Drosophila melanogaster: one gene and its partners. The protein of the gene in region 2 interacts with the protein of the main gene of each other region in a pairwise test. Each region holds a gene or a part of one and is shown on either strand. Other genes may lie near its edges.

The links.
Region 1: the proteins of nub (region 2) and CG31140 interact in a two-hybrid assay, tested with the Drosophila melanogaster proteins (one large-scale study listed by BioGRID).
Region 3: the proteins of nub (region 2) and CG14302 interact in a two-hybrid assay, tested with the Drosophila melanogaster proteins (one large-scale study listed by BioGRID).
Region 4: the proteins of nub (region 2) and BomBc3 interact in a two-hybrid assay, tested with the Drosophila melanogaster proteins (one large-scale study listed by BioGRID).

Annotation. Positions count from the first base shown.
Region 1 is NT_033777.3:23,961,416-23,966,238, reverse strand, and holds the start of CG31140 (uncharacterized protein), read right to left. Parts: upstream 3,060-4,823; 5' UTR 3,016-3,059; exon of another isoform or gene 3,006-3,015; intron 440-3,005; exon of another isoform or gene 435-439; 5' UTR 1-434.
Region 2 is NT_033779.5:12,585,772-12,590,679, reverse strand, and holds the start of nub (nubbin), read right to left. Parts: upstream 3,056-4,908; 5' UTR 2,628-3,055; intron 1-2,627. UniProt on the Drosophila melanogaster protein: DNA-binding regulatory protein implicated in early development. Involved in neuronal cell fate decision. Repressed directly or indirectly by the BX-C homeotic proteins.
Region 3 is NT_033777.3:18,731,023-18,733,539, forward strand, and holds CG14302 (uncharacterized protein), read left to right. Parts: upstream 1-1,658; 5' UTR 1,659-1,683; coding exon 1,684-1,690; intron 1,691-1,763; coding exon 1,764-1,972; 3' UTR 1,973-2,012; downstream 2,013-2,517. Other genes in the region: Mekk1, read right to left, coding at 2,256-2,342, 2,407-2,517.
Region 4 is NT_033777.3:22,085,229-22,089,048, forward strand, and holds BomBc3 (bomanin bicipital 3), read left to right. Parts: upstream 1-1,954; 5' UTR 1,955-1,974; coding exon 1,975-2,032; intron 2,033-2,089; coding exon 2,090-2,131; intron 2,132-2,200; coding exon 2,201-2,397; 3' UTR 2,398-3,273; downstream 3,274-3,820. Other genes in the region: BomT3 (bomanin tailed 3), read right to left, coding at 375-637, 1,005-1,095.

The DNA of each region.
Region 1 (4,823 bases), on a different chromosome or scaffold from region 2:
CAGCGCTGCCGTACCGACCGAGGGCGTTCGATTGGCGTGGGCGTGGCAGGACTGCTCCTTCTGATCCTGCTGCTCCTTCTGCTGCTGTTGCTGCTCCTGGTGCTGCTGGTACTGCTGGTGCTTTTCCGACTTTTCCTGTTGCTGCTGACAAAAGCGATGCGATAGTGACGACGGCGAAAGTGACGGCGACGACGGCTGCATTTTCATCCATTGGTCAGGTAGCGGCTCCCTTATCCGGACATTTGCTTGTCGGGATCGGTGTTTTTCCTCGCTTTGAACTTTATTTATCCTTACTAGTTTCTATATACATATTGGCTATGTATCATATTTGCTTTGATTCATATTCATGCATCTTTGGTTTGGTTAAGCGTTTTCGTTTATAACTTTCTTTTGGTGGTGAGTTTTTAACTGTTAATTATTTACAATTTCTGGCGCTGCACTAAACAAAATAAATTTGATAATTGCTTGTTAGAATTTATGTGTGCCATTTGAAATAAATAAATTCCAATTGAATTTTGTATATAGCACTGCACACACAGTCGCGGACACACACGTAGGCACACTTCACTCGGCGGGCGGTCTTCACTTTACTACTACCGAAAACGAACAGTCGCAGCAGCAGCAGCAGCTCGGAAAATGTTTTTCTTCGACTTCGCTCGTTCCTTTGCTTTTCCACTTTCCGCTTTTCTGCGCTGATACGTGGGCGCCGCACACCCCAAAAGAAAAAAACAGCAGAGCCAAAAAATGAAAGGAAAACGTTTCCCGATAATAAAATCCACAAGAGCGGGAGTTTCCACAGGGAAATGCGAGAGAGAGAGAGAGAAAGCTAGAAAGAGAGCGAGAAATGGGGCTGCGCGAGAGAGAAGGCACGCGTCATGCGTGGTGAGTTGGGTAAAAAAGTTCCCAGTATTCTTGGAGCATCATAAAAAAGTAGTAGACATCAATATAATAATAGAAGTGGCAAAAATATGATATCAACAGCGTGTACCGCAGGGAAAAGGAGAAAGGGAACCATAGGGAAAAGGAGAAAGAGAGAGTGGCACAGAAAGCGAGAGAGGGAGCTAGAGCAAACTGCATTGCTTCAATTTCTCCCACCCAAAGCGATTCTATCAATTTCCATAGCTGCGGCGCCCTCAAGTATGCAACATGTTCTGCGACGAACCAATTACCACCGCCACCCACTTTCCCAGCACCACCCCCTCCCAGCCAAAGGCCGCCCACCGCCAGCGGGTATGGCCAAGGACAATCCAGTCAAATATTATATCATACAGGTCCTAATAATAGACGGAAACAAAGGTAACGACACTTGAAGTTTTCAACTTGATGACAATAAACGATAGCTAACGGAAGGCGCACAAATCCGCATTGTGTGTATACGCAAAGTTAAGGTCGGCATAATGGCCCTCAAGCACAAGGATCTTGGTCCTTATTTAGTGTATATGACATGTTTTTAGCATTGATTTTACATCGAATTATGTCCTAAGCTCATAATTCTATAACTATCTATTGTGACAACAAGATATGAGTTTCCTATTGTTTAAAACCCTCAAATTTTAGTTCGATATTCGATCCTATCGAATATTGATATTAACGCATCGTTTGTGTGCGCAGAAAAGCACCTACACGAAATTATAGTAGTTATGATGACTTAAAGCAGATTATAGATGGAATCAAGGAATATCTATAAAACTGGAATCCACATACGCAGTTACTTTCTATAAAAAAAAGTTGTTAACCCTTGAAGTAGAAGTACTGCGAACTTGAGAAATGAGTTGTGAACTTGGACTTGACGGTACTATTATTTGCACCGCAACTGTGAGTTTGGAGCCAGCCTGACGACGTGGAATGTCCAGGACCCGTTTCCCGTGTCCATATATCCTGGCCACCAGGCGATGTCCTGGCGACATGCGCACTCCGGAACCCACCACACTCGCTCGCGCGAACTCAACTCCACCACGACGGAGCGTTTCAAAGAAAGTGGCCAAGTTTAAGGATAAATCACAACGAGCAATATTTTTGCAACAAATGCGTTGAACGGGCGGCAATTTGGGGGTTGGGTGATGAAAACTTTGCGGCTTTGCTTTTCTTAGGGAAATTATTGTTTTGTTTTGGGCTGGGAGAGGCGCAGAAGCAGAAAAAACGGAAAATTATGGATGCTAATGGGGGGCCCAAAAAAGCGAGATATATAGATTTCAGAGGCTGTGTATACACACACACTCTACAACTGTAGACAAAGCAGCCGTACTTCGTACCCGTAGTGGCGCCCACCCAGCCCACTGACGCCCCCACCCCTTTCCCCCTCTGGACTTGCCACCCACTTTTCCCACCCAATGCTGCGCGCTTCGCTCTTTTCGGGCCGCATGAGCAAATCGCAATAGATAGAGAATTTTTTTCTTTCTTTCTTTTGCTGGCGCGGCTTGATTCCTTGCCACCACATCTATATGTATGTATATATATATATGTCTGATTGGTATATATATGCGAATATATATGTATCTGGACGGAGTGCGTGTGGCCTTGTCTTTTTCCATTTTCATTGCTAATCACACGAAGGAGTTAATTTGTTAAAACTTTGGCTTCGGATGGGAAAGTGGGGCCTGGAAAACTCTTGGTACTTGGCACATATGACAACGTAATTTTCACGCGCACACACACACTCGCGATTTTGGAGAGAGAAATTTTATGTACCATACATTTTTGAAGCTGCAAAATTTTGCACATTCGATTTTCACACTGCCACTAATGCTGCCTGCTACTGCTGCTGCTGGCGCTGCTGCTTTTTCCTTCGTTTTTCTTTTCTAGCCGCACTTTCGAATTTTTTTTCCTTCACCGGATGGAAAATTTTCACACGCACAGCAATCGAGTTAAAGCGAGTTTTTCGCAAGTTTTCATCGCGATTTCCCCCGAGTTTTCCACGCGTTTTATGCACTTTTTCGCTGCGAGTGTGTGAGAATTTTCCTGTGTGCTGGCTGTGTGAAAATGGAAATCCAGTGAAAATCCGCAACCGTTACGTACGGAAGAGCACACCTAGCTGCTGTGTGTGCTCCGCTGAAGACGATGGTGCGCTCTGCGGACGGGTCTGCAACTTTCTCGCGGCGCAGCGCCTTTATCGCTGCCTTCGCCGCTGCTCCGCCTGGCGCTCTCGCTGCGTCCCGCTCGCACACGCCGTGGGGCCAATCGCGCCCTCTCGCTCGACGCTGAGTGTGTTGAGTTCGCCGAATTCCTGTGTGCGTGCGTGCCCAACAACAAACAGGGGGAAATGTTGGGGAGCTCCCGTTAGGGAGAGAGCCAGGTCGCTCTCTATCTCTCTCGTTCGCAGTCAGGATGCTCTCTGGCGACCCCCCCTCCCCAAATAAAAATGAAATCAACAATTTGTTGGTCGGCGAGCTGCCAACTTGGCCCCAAAATAAATGTGGCCAAGCTAAGAGAGGAAATTGGCCCAAAGAACGACCATTATTTTAAATTAAGGCTTAATTGAAGGTTAGAAATGTAGGTTTTTTGAAAAAAATGAGTTTTACATTCAATATTAAAATCAGTAAGAAAATGCATTTTCTTATATTTTATAATTTAAGTTAGTAAAATCTCATAAAAACGAACTTTTCAAAAACCATTGCCTACTTTCTTGTGCTTATTCCGCGTCATAACCATGACGTACTATTGTCCCAACAGAAAAGAGTAGTACTGAAATATAAAAACTCTCACGCTCGATACCATCTTTATTTGCAGCAAAGAATGCATAAAGTAAACAGAGTTTTGATTGGTTACTTTGGATACAGCAATTTTTATATATTTATAGGGCTTTTAACTTACAACTATAGAGTTGAGCACACCGTCGATTAATCGCATCGCTTTACTTTGCTTATCATTAAGTTAATCTTTACAAATATGAACGTGTGTGAGCAACCGATATTGATGCTTTTTTGTGAAATTAAATGTATTGCAAATTGCATTTGCCAAGCGAAATTAGGAATAGGTTTAACAGCACTTCTATACACAATGTTTTTTATGCTGACACAGGGTGGTTAAATTACAATAGAACCGGTATACTTTTGGGTTACGTTAAATACACATACAATTAAGGCGACTTTAAATGGGTTCAATATAGATAATGCCTTTCTGGCGTTACTTTTGCATAGAGCCAACTTAGCCCAGGCCGTGATCGTCGAAGAAACTCTGCGGGGTCTCATCCTGGAAAGGGAGAATGCTTAGCTTCAGTTACATGTTACTATACTTTACAGCGCTTGGGGTAAAAGGAAACCAAATAAAAGTATCGATACTGGGGGCTAACTATGAAAAAGACTATGAAAAAGGGTGGTATATAGTAGCAACTAAAAACGAAAGGACACCAAACGGGTGCGCTAAGCCAGACATATAGGTAGATAGACAGTTTAGAGGGAGTGGAGCTCAGAGATCAGATCAGTGGAGGTGGAACAATGTGGGCGTCAAGAGTTTAGAGCAGTCAAATTGGTCAGTCACAACAACAGCAAAGACAACAATCAAAACTAAACGTTTAACAAAGACACTAAAAAGAAAACTGAGGTTCACCAGGTCTTACCATTTTCATATAGCATACGAGTACAATTAGGATTTTTTTTTCAAAAATACTTGGTTTTTATTTTAACTTGTTTTTCTCAGTTACAAAACACAGAAAATTTGGCTAAAACGTACAACACACATACATAAACATATATATATATATATATACTTGTAGATATAGATAAACTAGATTTTTTTATTCGGTTATTATTACAATTTTCAATTATATATCGTTCTCATTTAATCAACATTAAAGCTTACATGTTTCTATTGTAAGAATAGTATTG
Region 2 (4,908 bases):
CAATCATAAAATATAAAATATAAGTTAGCTGTTTTAGTTTCTACATATGTGCAATAAATTTCGTATTTATAATGATAATAATAATGGAATAAATGTCATGACTTTTTTAGAGTTAATAAACATATACTTAAGAAGACACTTGCTAATGTGCCAAATATCAGGTACGCAGCCCTTAACTTAACGCCACTTGAGGCAAGTTGTATCGCACCGGACCTTACCTAACGCAAACCATCGAAACAAAAAAGTGAAAAACCGGTGCAAACCGATTTCCAAGATTGCGAAATGTGAAACGTGTTAAGCGAAACAAGCCCCCCAATGAACTTTGCGCGGACTAAACATCAGCCCATATTTCAAGATTCTATTGTTTACCCCCGGTGAAAGAATTACGAGTTCCAAGAATTGAATTTAATAAACTTTAATCACGAGCCTTCAACTTATTTGTTAATTTTGCAAATTATATTTTATTGTATCGCGCCAATCGAATTTCCGCACGAAGAAGATAGTAGTGGGGGAAAGGACCCTTTTAACGAATTTGGCTTATCAACCGCAAAGAAATCAATAATTCTTATCAACCATCCGCTGATTCTTTTGGTCGCCAAGTCTCAAGTGATTCATATTTAAATGATATACGGAAATGATTAGCTTGATAAGAATCTAATTCACTGATATATGACCTCATTTTACAAATTATTTAAAGCGGGTGACTATAAATCTATTTTCGGAATGGGAGTAATATGCTCCTAACGTAATGAAAAACTCAAATCCTAATCACCTTTAAAAGTAAGTAACTTTAAAGAGTAAAAAAAAAGACATTTTCAGAGCACCTGTCACCTTTGAGGATCCTGCTATCAAATCGATACCCATTCAATTGATTAGTTTTTTTGGGGCTTGGCCGAAATTTCATTGTTGAACATGAACAATTTCATTGTTGATATGCAAAGTGCTGGGGTATGAAGTGTGTGGCATGGCACTGGTTCTTGGCTCTTGACTCTATCTCAACTCTCCTCACCTCACCACCCAACCAACCTGCGAACGGAGTTGTCTTATCAGGCCAGAGCAAACAAATTGAACTCATTTCTCTTTTTAAACAACAGCTTCGACGCAATTGTCGACACGGGTCTACGCATAGATATAGATACTCCAATAAGAACCAACTCGTCTTGGTCTTCTTGGCCCGGTCGGGCTTAATCAGTTCAGTTCGGCTGGAGGAGCACCGAATATGGTAAATGGGAAAACGCAGTCGAGATAATGCTACGCCAAGAACGAGAAGGAGAAGAAAGAAGCAGGTTAAGTTTTTCCATTCCATTTTTATCTAATTAGGCTAAGCAGGCAACGCGACAAACGCTGGACAAATATTTATTATTGTACTGTAAAAATAATCAATCACTCGATCGTTACAGCAAATGGTAATGGTATCTGTACGGCTGTATCTATATACGCCACCCAGATAACGGCATTTGAATAAGAAAAAAATAAAGAACGAGTGTCCAACCAAAAGGAAATGCAGTTCCAACTTGTCCAGAGGCACTTGAACTCAAAACTGCGGCACACCACAAGTGTTATGCTAATAAAACATATCGTGCCGATCGCCTTATCAATAAGGCAACATAATATACGCTTGTGTATTGATATAGATATACACATTAAACAAATCGAACGGTGGGTTGGTACGATATTTAAAGTGTAAATCGATCGATTTTTCTCGCACTTTGTTTGCCGTATTTATTTATTTCAATTTCAATATTATTTCTCGCCTCACCGTTCACCCCCGGCGACATTGCGAAAGATACTGGAGTTACAGGTATCCCACTTCAACTTTTGTAGAGTAAACTTTGATGCAGGTTCTGTTTACCTCCGGTCTGAAACTCAAGGCGCCTTACTTAAAAATGGTTTATACAATATCCCCCCTCTTATATGGTATACATTTCCTTTACTTTCAGTAATTTTCAGTAAATTAAGTGGTGAAAAGCCCGTTTTATAGATTGTCAAACACTATTTACTGCTGCGGGGTGGGGTAAAACCCTTTAAAAACGCTAGGCAACATAAATTCAAAAATGTTTCATTTATTAAAGCTTGTTAGAGATTGCAGATTAGGATTGTGAAATTCTACACGGCTTTGATTAATTGAATGAATCATGATTAGGGTCCAGGTGGCCTGGGGAACTCTTATCAACAAAAATTTCGGATGTCACTTGTTGTAAAATTGTTCAATCTTTTAGTCAAAAAAGGTAAGTCATTTTCGTAATTAGAAAATCAGTGAAGTTATTTATTAAATGACCCATTATTATTTTCTTTTATAAATAAAACATTTATACAATTGTATTTCTTTCCTAAATTTGTTGGTTACCAAGGTATTTAAATATTTATATACCAAAAAGATGACTGTAAGCAATTCTAAAATTTTTCAAGAAGCTTCAGACCCTTGGTCTTGGTTTTCAATCATTAAAAAATTTATTTTTGTGGTAACTACAACTTTAAATTTATTTTCTGCACATGTATATTGTTATTTTATTTTCATGTATAACAACTTGTACACAAATAATCAACCTTTCTAGATATGTGTCAATAAAATTTCTATGAATTCTTTTATATTTTTCATAGCTTAATTTAATACTCATGGGATTTACCTCAATTGTTGAGTTTTTCAGACAAACATTTCAATCTTTAAATATCAAATTCATTTCGTTCAAGTGAATAAGTTATTAGTTATCACTGTACTTTATCTGCACAATATGGGGCACTCTTTAAAAACTATAAGCGTATAGTTTTTCAATAAATTATGATGTTACTATGAGCGAAATTTGCGTCTCATTCGCAGCACGTTTCGATTCGCACAAATGCCGTCGTCAAAACGCAAAAAACTGCGGCACAAAAAGAGATCGGAAAAATCGCGACGCGAGAGCGATGAGAATGGGGATTTTTATTAGAGGGGTTCATTCGGGATCGTATTGTATCGGTCGAGTAGCGCATGGGATATCGCGGAGGACAAAATGTGTTGCCAAAGTCCGGGGAGCGCGCGCACTTGAGCTACAACCACTGAACGCTGAACTCAACTGAGGCGAGCTCGCCAAAAGTATCTTAAAGATGCGCAACAGATCGGCAACTTTAACGGCAGCGGGCTGCAACAAGTTTTTTTTTGCCAAATCCATATAAACAAAAGGCAAATAAACAAACGGCAGTGCACTGAAACAATTGCAATGTGAAGTGTCTCTGTGTTCGGGTTTTGCTGTAAGTGTGCGTGACTTTAGTTGCTCGTATCTGCTGCAGGTACTTGCACACACAGATGCACACCTGCTTGCAACATTGCAATTGCAGGAGAGGGATAAAAGAGAGCGCTTAAGCTCTCTCAAAACCGCAATGAGTTATGTTTAAACATTAATTCATTTTAGTGTAAAAAAAAACAATTAAGTTTAGTTTGAGAGCTAAAATTCTCTTGTCTCTGAAAAACTCTCGCTCTTGCTCTCTCTGCGCGCTCTCCACTCACCACTACTACTGCAAAAAGCAGCGATCGCTCACTTAGGTTCCACAAAAAGCTGACCCGTTGGGGAAAAAGAGACAACTAATCGCGCTCGCTAATTTTCACACACACTCTTGCAATATTCAAATCTGGTTGCTCGCTGTCCCTCTCTCACTTGCATGCTCCCTCGCTTTATTTAAATTTATGATTATCGCCCCCTTGTGTGTGTGCCTACTTAATCCAATTGGAGGTGGAGCCGTGACTCTCCGTCCAATTGGGAGATACGTTCGCATAGACTCTCATTCCGCCTGCATATATCGCCTCGTTAACTGTCACATTGACGCAGGTGGGGGCTTTATCTTTATTTTGGGGCCCGGACTTATCCAATTGGATTTTTGTTTTGCAAACTGGTTTCGCCAACGCCTCTTATTGGCAGCGTTATTTTTAGGTTTGCTTCGGCTATTATCTAAGTACAAATTGATTAGAGGAATGCGAATTTGTAGTAAAAGCTTTTAATTGCGAGGGAATTTGAATTTATTGCGATTTATTTCCCTTTGGCTTAATTCAGTACAATACTTTTGTATTGAAATAAATAAATTTATATATGTATCTTGCCATTCATTCTTGGTTTCATCCAGATAAGAAATTATATGTAATTATATAACTAGATAATTATACATTTTCTTTGTTTTACTACGTGCTTACTTACATTTTGCTAACAATACCTTAAAAAAAAAACTACACAAAATTATTATTTTACACATGATAAAAAATAGTTCTGTTTATATGGAGTGTATTTAGTTTGTCATCATCTGGATAAACTCAACAATGTAAATTAATCGTCAAAAATTCGAAAGAAATATTTCCCAGCTAAACGGTTATCCATTGAATGGCGAAGAGCATTCAGGTTGGACCTGCCCCGCGGAGTTTCCATTGAAGGGCATTGTTTTGGAGGGCGCCGCTGCTTCACAAATCGCATACGCACGATCTGCTGACACAATTCCGCCAGCAATTAAGTTGATTCACCTCCGCGGGCTGGAGATTTTACCTGTTGCTCAATTTGCCGGCATTTAAAAAAGCTGTCAACAGCGATCGGGAATCGGGTATCGGCGCGATCGACGACCTGGGTGCATAATTCCGGCCAACTGGAGCTGATCTTGGCCAATTGTTTACCATATGCAGTCCGGCCAGGCATTCCAAACTGTCCGCTTGAGCTTATTAGCCTGTCGTTTGCATTTCTGCGGTATTTCCACTTTGTTCAAGGCGCCGGCCTCCCAAGTGAACGGGCCCCAATTTGAATGCAAATTCCACGCATTGCGCGCTTTTGGTCATTCAAATGTTGCCGCTTCAGTGTTGCCGCAAAGTTATAGATTTAATGCAGAGGCATCCGGGATACCCTATCCGTAAGGGAAGTAAAATTTTTTGAGTCACCTGAAAGTATTAAAAATATA
Region 3 (2,517 bases), on a different chromosome or scaffold from region 2:
AGTAAGTGTAACTAGCGACCACACACGGGCGTTTCATTTGTGACCAAGCACCACCAAGCGAGCCACCCAACGAGGGGTGGGCATCTGAGGAATAAGATGGATAACGATAACGAAATCGGAATCGAAAACTGATGTCAATCACTATCAAGTTGAGACAAAAAAAAAAACACAAAAAAAAAGAAATAAGAAAACTATACGCAACCCATTCGCTTTACATATCCGTTACCAAAGTATCCTCGTAGTTTGAATTAGAGCAACTCTAGTCAATTAAATGTTTTAGAGCCGTTTTATGCGCAAATTGTTAGTGCTGTTATCTAAGTGTGTTAATTGTGCTATATTAAATATGAGTGTTATACCAATCACTAACTAACTTAGCAGAGCTTACGAACTTGTTTATACCCCTACTGTCAGCGAATTATGGCAAGCAAGCCCACAAGTATGCAATACTTTTCGTTACGAAAGTTGTGTTTCAAATACAATACGTTCTATAGTTGTTACAAAAGATACTAGCTAAAGCATATACTAAAAGTACTATCTGCGCTTGTTACTGCAATTTCGTTGTTTGTTTGAGGACTTATTACAAAAAAAGAATTATATAATGTCTGTTAATATATTTCCATATATATTCGTGTTTTAGAGAGCAAATGGTATACCGTAACTAAAGGCTTTTTGGATGAATATATATATATATATATATATATAATAATATATGTATGTACAACCCGTAAATGAATAATGAAATGAATGTAGAGGAATATATAGAATACGCGTATAGACTTGAGACGTAACAATACATATCAATAAATTTATATACATCCCAGGAAGGCAAATGATGCCCCACGGCGCAGGACGATTTAGAATGATATAGATACATATATAACCTATGTGTGTTTGTTTGTCTGTTCGAGCCGTTAGCAAAAAAAAAAGATGTTTCGATGGCGATCCACCAAAGCTGTCAATAATCTGCAAAGAATATATTATATACATAAATACTATACGTATGTTATTTACAATGGAAAATATATGAGAAACGTTAAAGGACAACCAGATACTTATATCAAACTAGTTGCTGTGTTCATTGTTGCTATATATGTACTATATGTATGATTATCTTCTAAACTGTTAACCGAACTATCACTACGTACTATCCAACTAACTATCTATCTTACCTGTATTATTCGATCTGTGTATCAATCATTACGTTACCATACTGTTCTGTACTGTCGTTAAGTTTGACTCGTTTCCATATGGCCAAGAGCCGCAATTAATGTATGCATAAATAATCACGAACCGAATAAATTGAAATAAATGCATTACAAACCAAGACCACCATCATTCCTGACCTACAATTGATCTGCTGGTGAATGAAAATACTCCATACGTATATGGATTTGGATAAGGCGCACGGTCAAATTGGCCACGTATTTTTCAGTGACTTCTAAGAATAGATAAGTCGTCTTCCGCTTGAAACAGTCATGAAAATCCGAGCTGCGCACTTCTTAATATCCAAGTGGTAAATACGATAACAAATAAATAAATAAATAATGATAAGCCAATGCCAGATAAATAGTGTTTTAATAAATTAATTAAATAAAATACCAATGGATACCCATGGCCAAGTGGTTCTCCATAAAAGGCCCTGGCCGTTCTGGGCACTTCAACAGTCTCTAAAACGCCGTCAACATGAAATGTAAGTACCGTACAAGGAGTAACCGCCAACGCAATCCGTGGACCATTCGAGTAACCGGCTCAATTCGTTGCAGTCTTCAACCTGCTGTTTAGCCTCTGTCTGGCCTTCATGCTGTGCACCTCGTGGGTGTCGGCTTTCTCCAGTCTTGCCACCCCGGAGCCAACTCCGCCAACTGGTGCTCCCGTCGATGGTACGACTAGCACGGGATTCTCTGGTCCGCCGCAGGCTGAGACCACAAATGCCACGCCAGAAACGTCGACCATCTATCCCATTTACGGATAGTCATCATCGATTGATGAATTAAAAACTGAATCGCAAATATATTAAAATACGTGTAATTTTCACTTGCATCGAATGAATTGTGGGGGTTACGGTACGGAAAGGCATTTGATTATTTTATACGGGTTATATATTGTCCAACATAAAACCAGACGAGGGCATTCAAATAATCGACATTCACATAAATTAGACACTAAACAAAATCCACACCGATGTACATATGCATCATATGTAGGGGTGCGCCTAAAAAAAACCGCAAGCTAGTTAAGTAGACACCACGTTGCACCTAGCTGCTGCTGGTCGCCACATTTCGCCGGAAAGAGCCTCGCACCTGCATCTGCAACTGCTCACTGCTGCACTCGTCTCGACCGTACTGCACATGGAAACGAAAATCAATTAGCAACATTTGGCAGCGAGCTAACCACAGGCATACGCACCTTGCAGAAATTGTGCTCCAACAGTTCCACTGCCGTTAAACGCCTCTTGGGATCGTGCTGCAGACAATGATCGATGAAGTCGTGACCCTCCTGGGATAGGCTCTCCGGTGC
Region 4 (3,820 bases), on a different chromosome or scaffold from region 2:
ATGGCTTTAAGGGTATATTAATCATCACTCTTGAACAGTTGCTACTCATTTATACGTGTCTGAACTGAATTACAATGAATACCAATTATAAAATGCACAGGAATTAAGGATATTATTTTTAGAAGCTATAGGTGGCATGCCATTTATTAGTAGCGTTAGCTGAGTATTTGATAAGTTTATTCACTAGTTTTACTTTAACAGAGGGACTTGTTTTTAACCTTTAACAAAACCTAACAAAAGCTCATTCTGTAAGTATATAAAAGTAGTCACCGCTGATAAAATATATATTTTTTTTATTTAAGTCTATATAATCTAAGTTTCAGACGATGCTTGCTCTTCGCGCTTAGCGCTAGCAAAGCTTCGAGATTATAATCTCAGCCGCTTATAATCTGCGTAAGACCGCCATCATCGTAGCCACCTCCACCGCCGCCTCCGTAGCCTCCTCCACCTCCTCCTCCGCCGTTACCATAGCCGGGTCCAAAGTTGCCCGAATATACTGGACGACGGCCACCTCCTCCACCTCCGCCGCCGTTGTAGTATCCTCCACCGCCTCCGCCTGCGTTGTATCCACCTCCTCCTCCTCGTCCTCCGTTGCCACCTGTGTAGACTCCAGGTCCTTGGCCTCCGGGTGGATTACCTAATAGTGATATTTAAATCAGTTTCTTGAGGAGTAGTAGTTACTTAATTGCGCGCTAGCTACTGCATTTTTTACGCAAGCCAGCAAATGTACTATGCGCTATAGAAATTAAAAGCTTAAAGCTAAGTGTTCGGAATTATATTATTCATAAACTTAACCAATAACAAATGTTTAGAGTATCGTTAATAATCACTTAATGACTTTCGTTGCCAAGAAATACCATAATATAATAACAAATTGATTGTTCATTCAAACTTTCGCTAATGAAAACACAAAATTTCCTTTTAAACTATGCCTGATGTGGCAGCGACGAAAATCGTTGAACAATTTTTGAATAAATGGCCCAAATTAATAGGCATTGACTTACAGTCGTAGCAACCGCCACCGATGTAAACAGCCGCCTCCGTTAGAGCCAGTGCAAAAAAAGCGATAATCGCAAATGCCGTCAAGGTTCTCATTGTGGCTGGTCTATTAGAACGTCGAACTGGTCTGGACCAGGTACGAACCGCAACAGCAGCTTATATACGATGCACTCATCGATTCCGATTCCGATACTGAATTTGAATTCGAATTCAAACCCAAACAGACCTTATCGCTGCAAAGAACTATTGCTGTGCAAACAAACCACTACGTATGTATTAAGTATTAATCTCAGGGAATTGCCCGCGGATGGGTTTCAAAAACAATCTGTAGCGCATCAGTTGGTCAGTCGTATTGCATTCAAGATACTCTACGTTACCTTTTTAACATAACAAATACACAAAATCTGTAAAATCTATAATAAGTCAGACACTTTTCATTTCTACAAAGTTGCAAAGATTTATTTTTAATGAAATGTATTTGTTTTCAAATATATTTTTTGCTTTTTCATTGTATTAAGTATCTTATTATTTAAATATAAATTGTTAGCTTTAGAACTAAAGCTTCTACATTTCACTCACGAGTCACGACTTTCGGTTCTGTAACCAGTTTTCCTTAGATGTATGGATAAAATTTAATGGTGTGCGATTCTCTGGAATCGCTTGCCATTCATGTTTACGTCTGGGAATAATTGTAAACCGACTTTTCGGGGCGTGACTGTCATAAGTTTCTTTGAAGAAGTTCAAGGAAATCAACTACGTCGACCTGATGCCACAAAACCGTGTGCGGAAAACCCCATCGAATTGCGATTTGATAGTGTTCTAGTGTGAAATTAATTTAAATATATTGTTCAAATACAAATCGAAAGCTCCAAACGCTTAGGCTTATGCAAATCGATTTTGATTCGGATCGAATCAAGTGCCGGACTATATAAGTAGCGTGAGAGTCGATACGGTCATCTATCTATCGGCTTTAATATGAAGTACCTGACGTGTGTGCTGCTCCCGTTGGCTTTAATTCCGACTCTGATCGGCGGTAAGCTGGACGGGATTGCTGCTGACGCTAATTGATACACACTGAAATTATTTCCAGCTCATCCCAGCACAGTGGTGGTGAATGGCGTCTGTCTGACTTGTAAGTTGCGATTGTTTTGCCAGCTAGGCAATTGGACAACTTAATGAATAATAATATGCACTCGAAAAGGTCCCAATCCGAATGGTGAACCCGTCTACCTGGATGGCCAGCAGTACCGCAGCTTCTCCTCATCCCCTGGCGATGGTAATGTGGTCATTTCCCGTGGAAATGACGGTAGTGGCGGTGGAGGTGGCACCATTTACCGGAGGGGTGGTAATACCATCGTCAATGGCAGATGTCAGCACTGCAACGTGGATCCCTATTAAAGGCTTAAACAATAAAGTCTGAATATTGAATTAAAATTGCGCACATATCGATCAATCCATTTCATACTTACACTTGGCTATGTACAACATCATTTAGCTAAAAGCATTGACAATCGTTCAACCCAGTCTCTCTGCAAATTCGATGAATGTGATGGTTTCGAGTGCAGAGGGCATCATCTGATGGAGGCAAAAAATGGAAAAATGAGCGTTTTATATTCAGTTTTTGTTACCACGAAGTACACGTGGAGAAACATGAAACATCCGAGTTATTTTATGCTGCGAAAAAAGCGTGAAGAATGTTATAATTGCTTTTGGTCGAAATATTCAGTCCTGAAAATCAAATTTTTCACATTTAAAATAAGAATTTTTTTTAACGATTTCCAGTACCTCATTGCGTGCACTGCGAGCTGTCTGTTTGTGAACATTGGCTTCTCTCATCCTTCTCAAAAATAAGTGATACAAAAGCGTTACATTTTCAAAAGCCTTGGTTTCAAAACAGTCTGCAAATAAGGGAAGACCCACGGATTTTGTGACGGAAAAATAGAGAAATTCGTGCTGCCAATGGCATCGATTGTTTGAACTTCAGCTAGTTGCCACATAAACTGGGCTGGGAGCTGACGTCGCTGTCTCCAGAGTATTGCACAGCATCGATAATCAAATGCGAGTAACCAACCGTGCAATTTACGCCAGTGGATGTGTTGTCAATGAAAACGCTGGCCTGATGTAAGGGTGCTTAAGGTTGCGCGTGCCACGTGGCGTATACGTAATGCTACTGCAGGAACGGCAAACAGAAGCCTCTCAAATATTTGCTTTGAAACTAACTACTCGACAAACAGTAAACACTTAGTGCATACACACACACACACACACACACACACTTCCCAAGAATATTTTGTGCAGAAGTTTCGAATAAAACTGATGCTGTGTTTTTATATACAGAATAAGAAGGGAAAAGTTTCATTCAGGCTTAGCATGCGAAAACAATTAAAATTGTAAAAGGATTACTTAACAATCATACAATTTTGATTTAAGCGTATAACTTAAGAGAATAGTATTGATTCCCGGACATCCAAGAATAAAAACCTAAGCTTTATTTGCAATTAAAAAAAAATACAATGCATTGAAATCAATGGACTGCCCTTGCGGATGTGCTAAATTCAGAAAAACGCTCGACTGGCTTAAAATTCAATGAACATTTGGGTGGCATAACCATACCAATCGTAAAGGGTTTCGATACACTTTCTCTGATTTACTTTTAATACACTTTATTGGCAGAAATGTGTCGTTTCCTATCTTTTTGGGTCACAAATTGTTTACACGCAACTTTAGAAGCCCCATGAAGCTGAGGAACTCAGTCCTAGTCCAGAACAGGGTGGTTTATCTGCCTAGCAACTTAAGGACCTTGAGCTGGGGAATGTTCGAA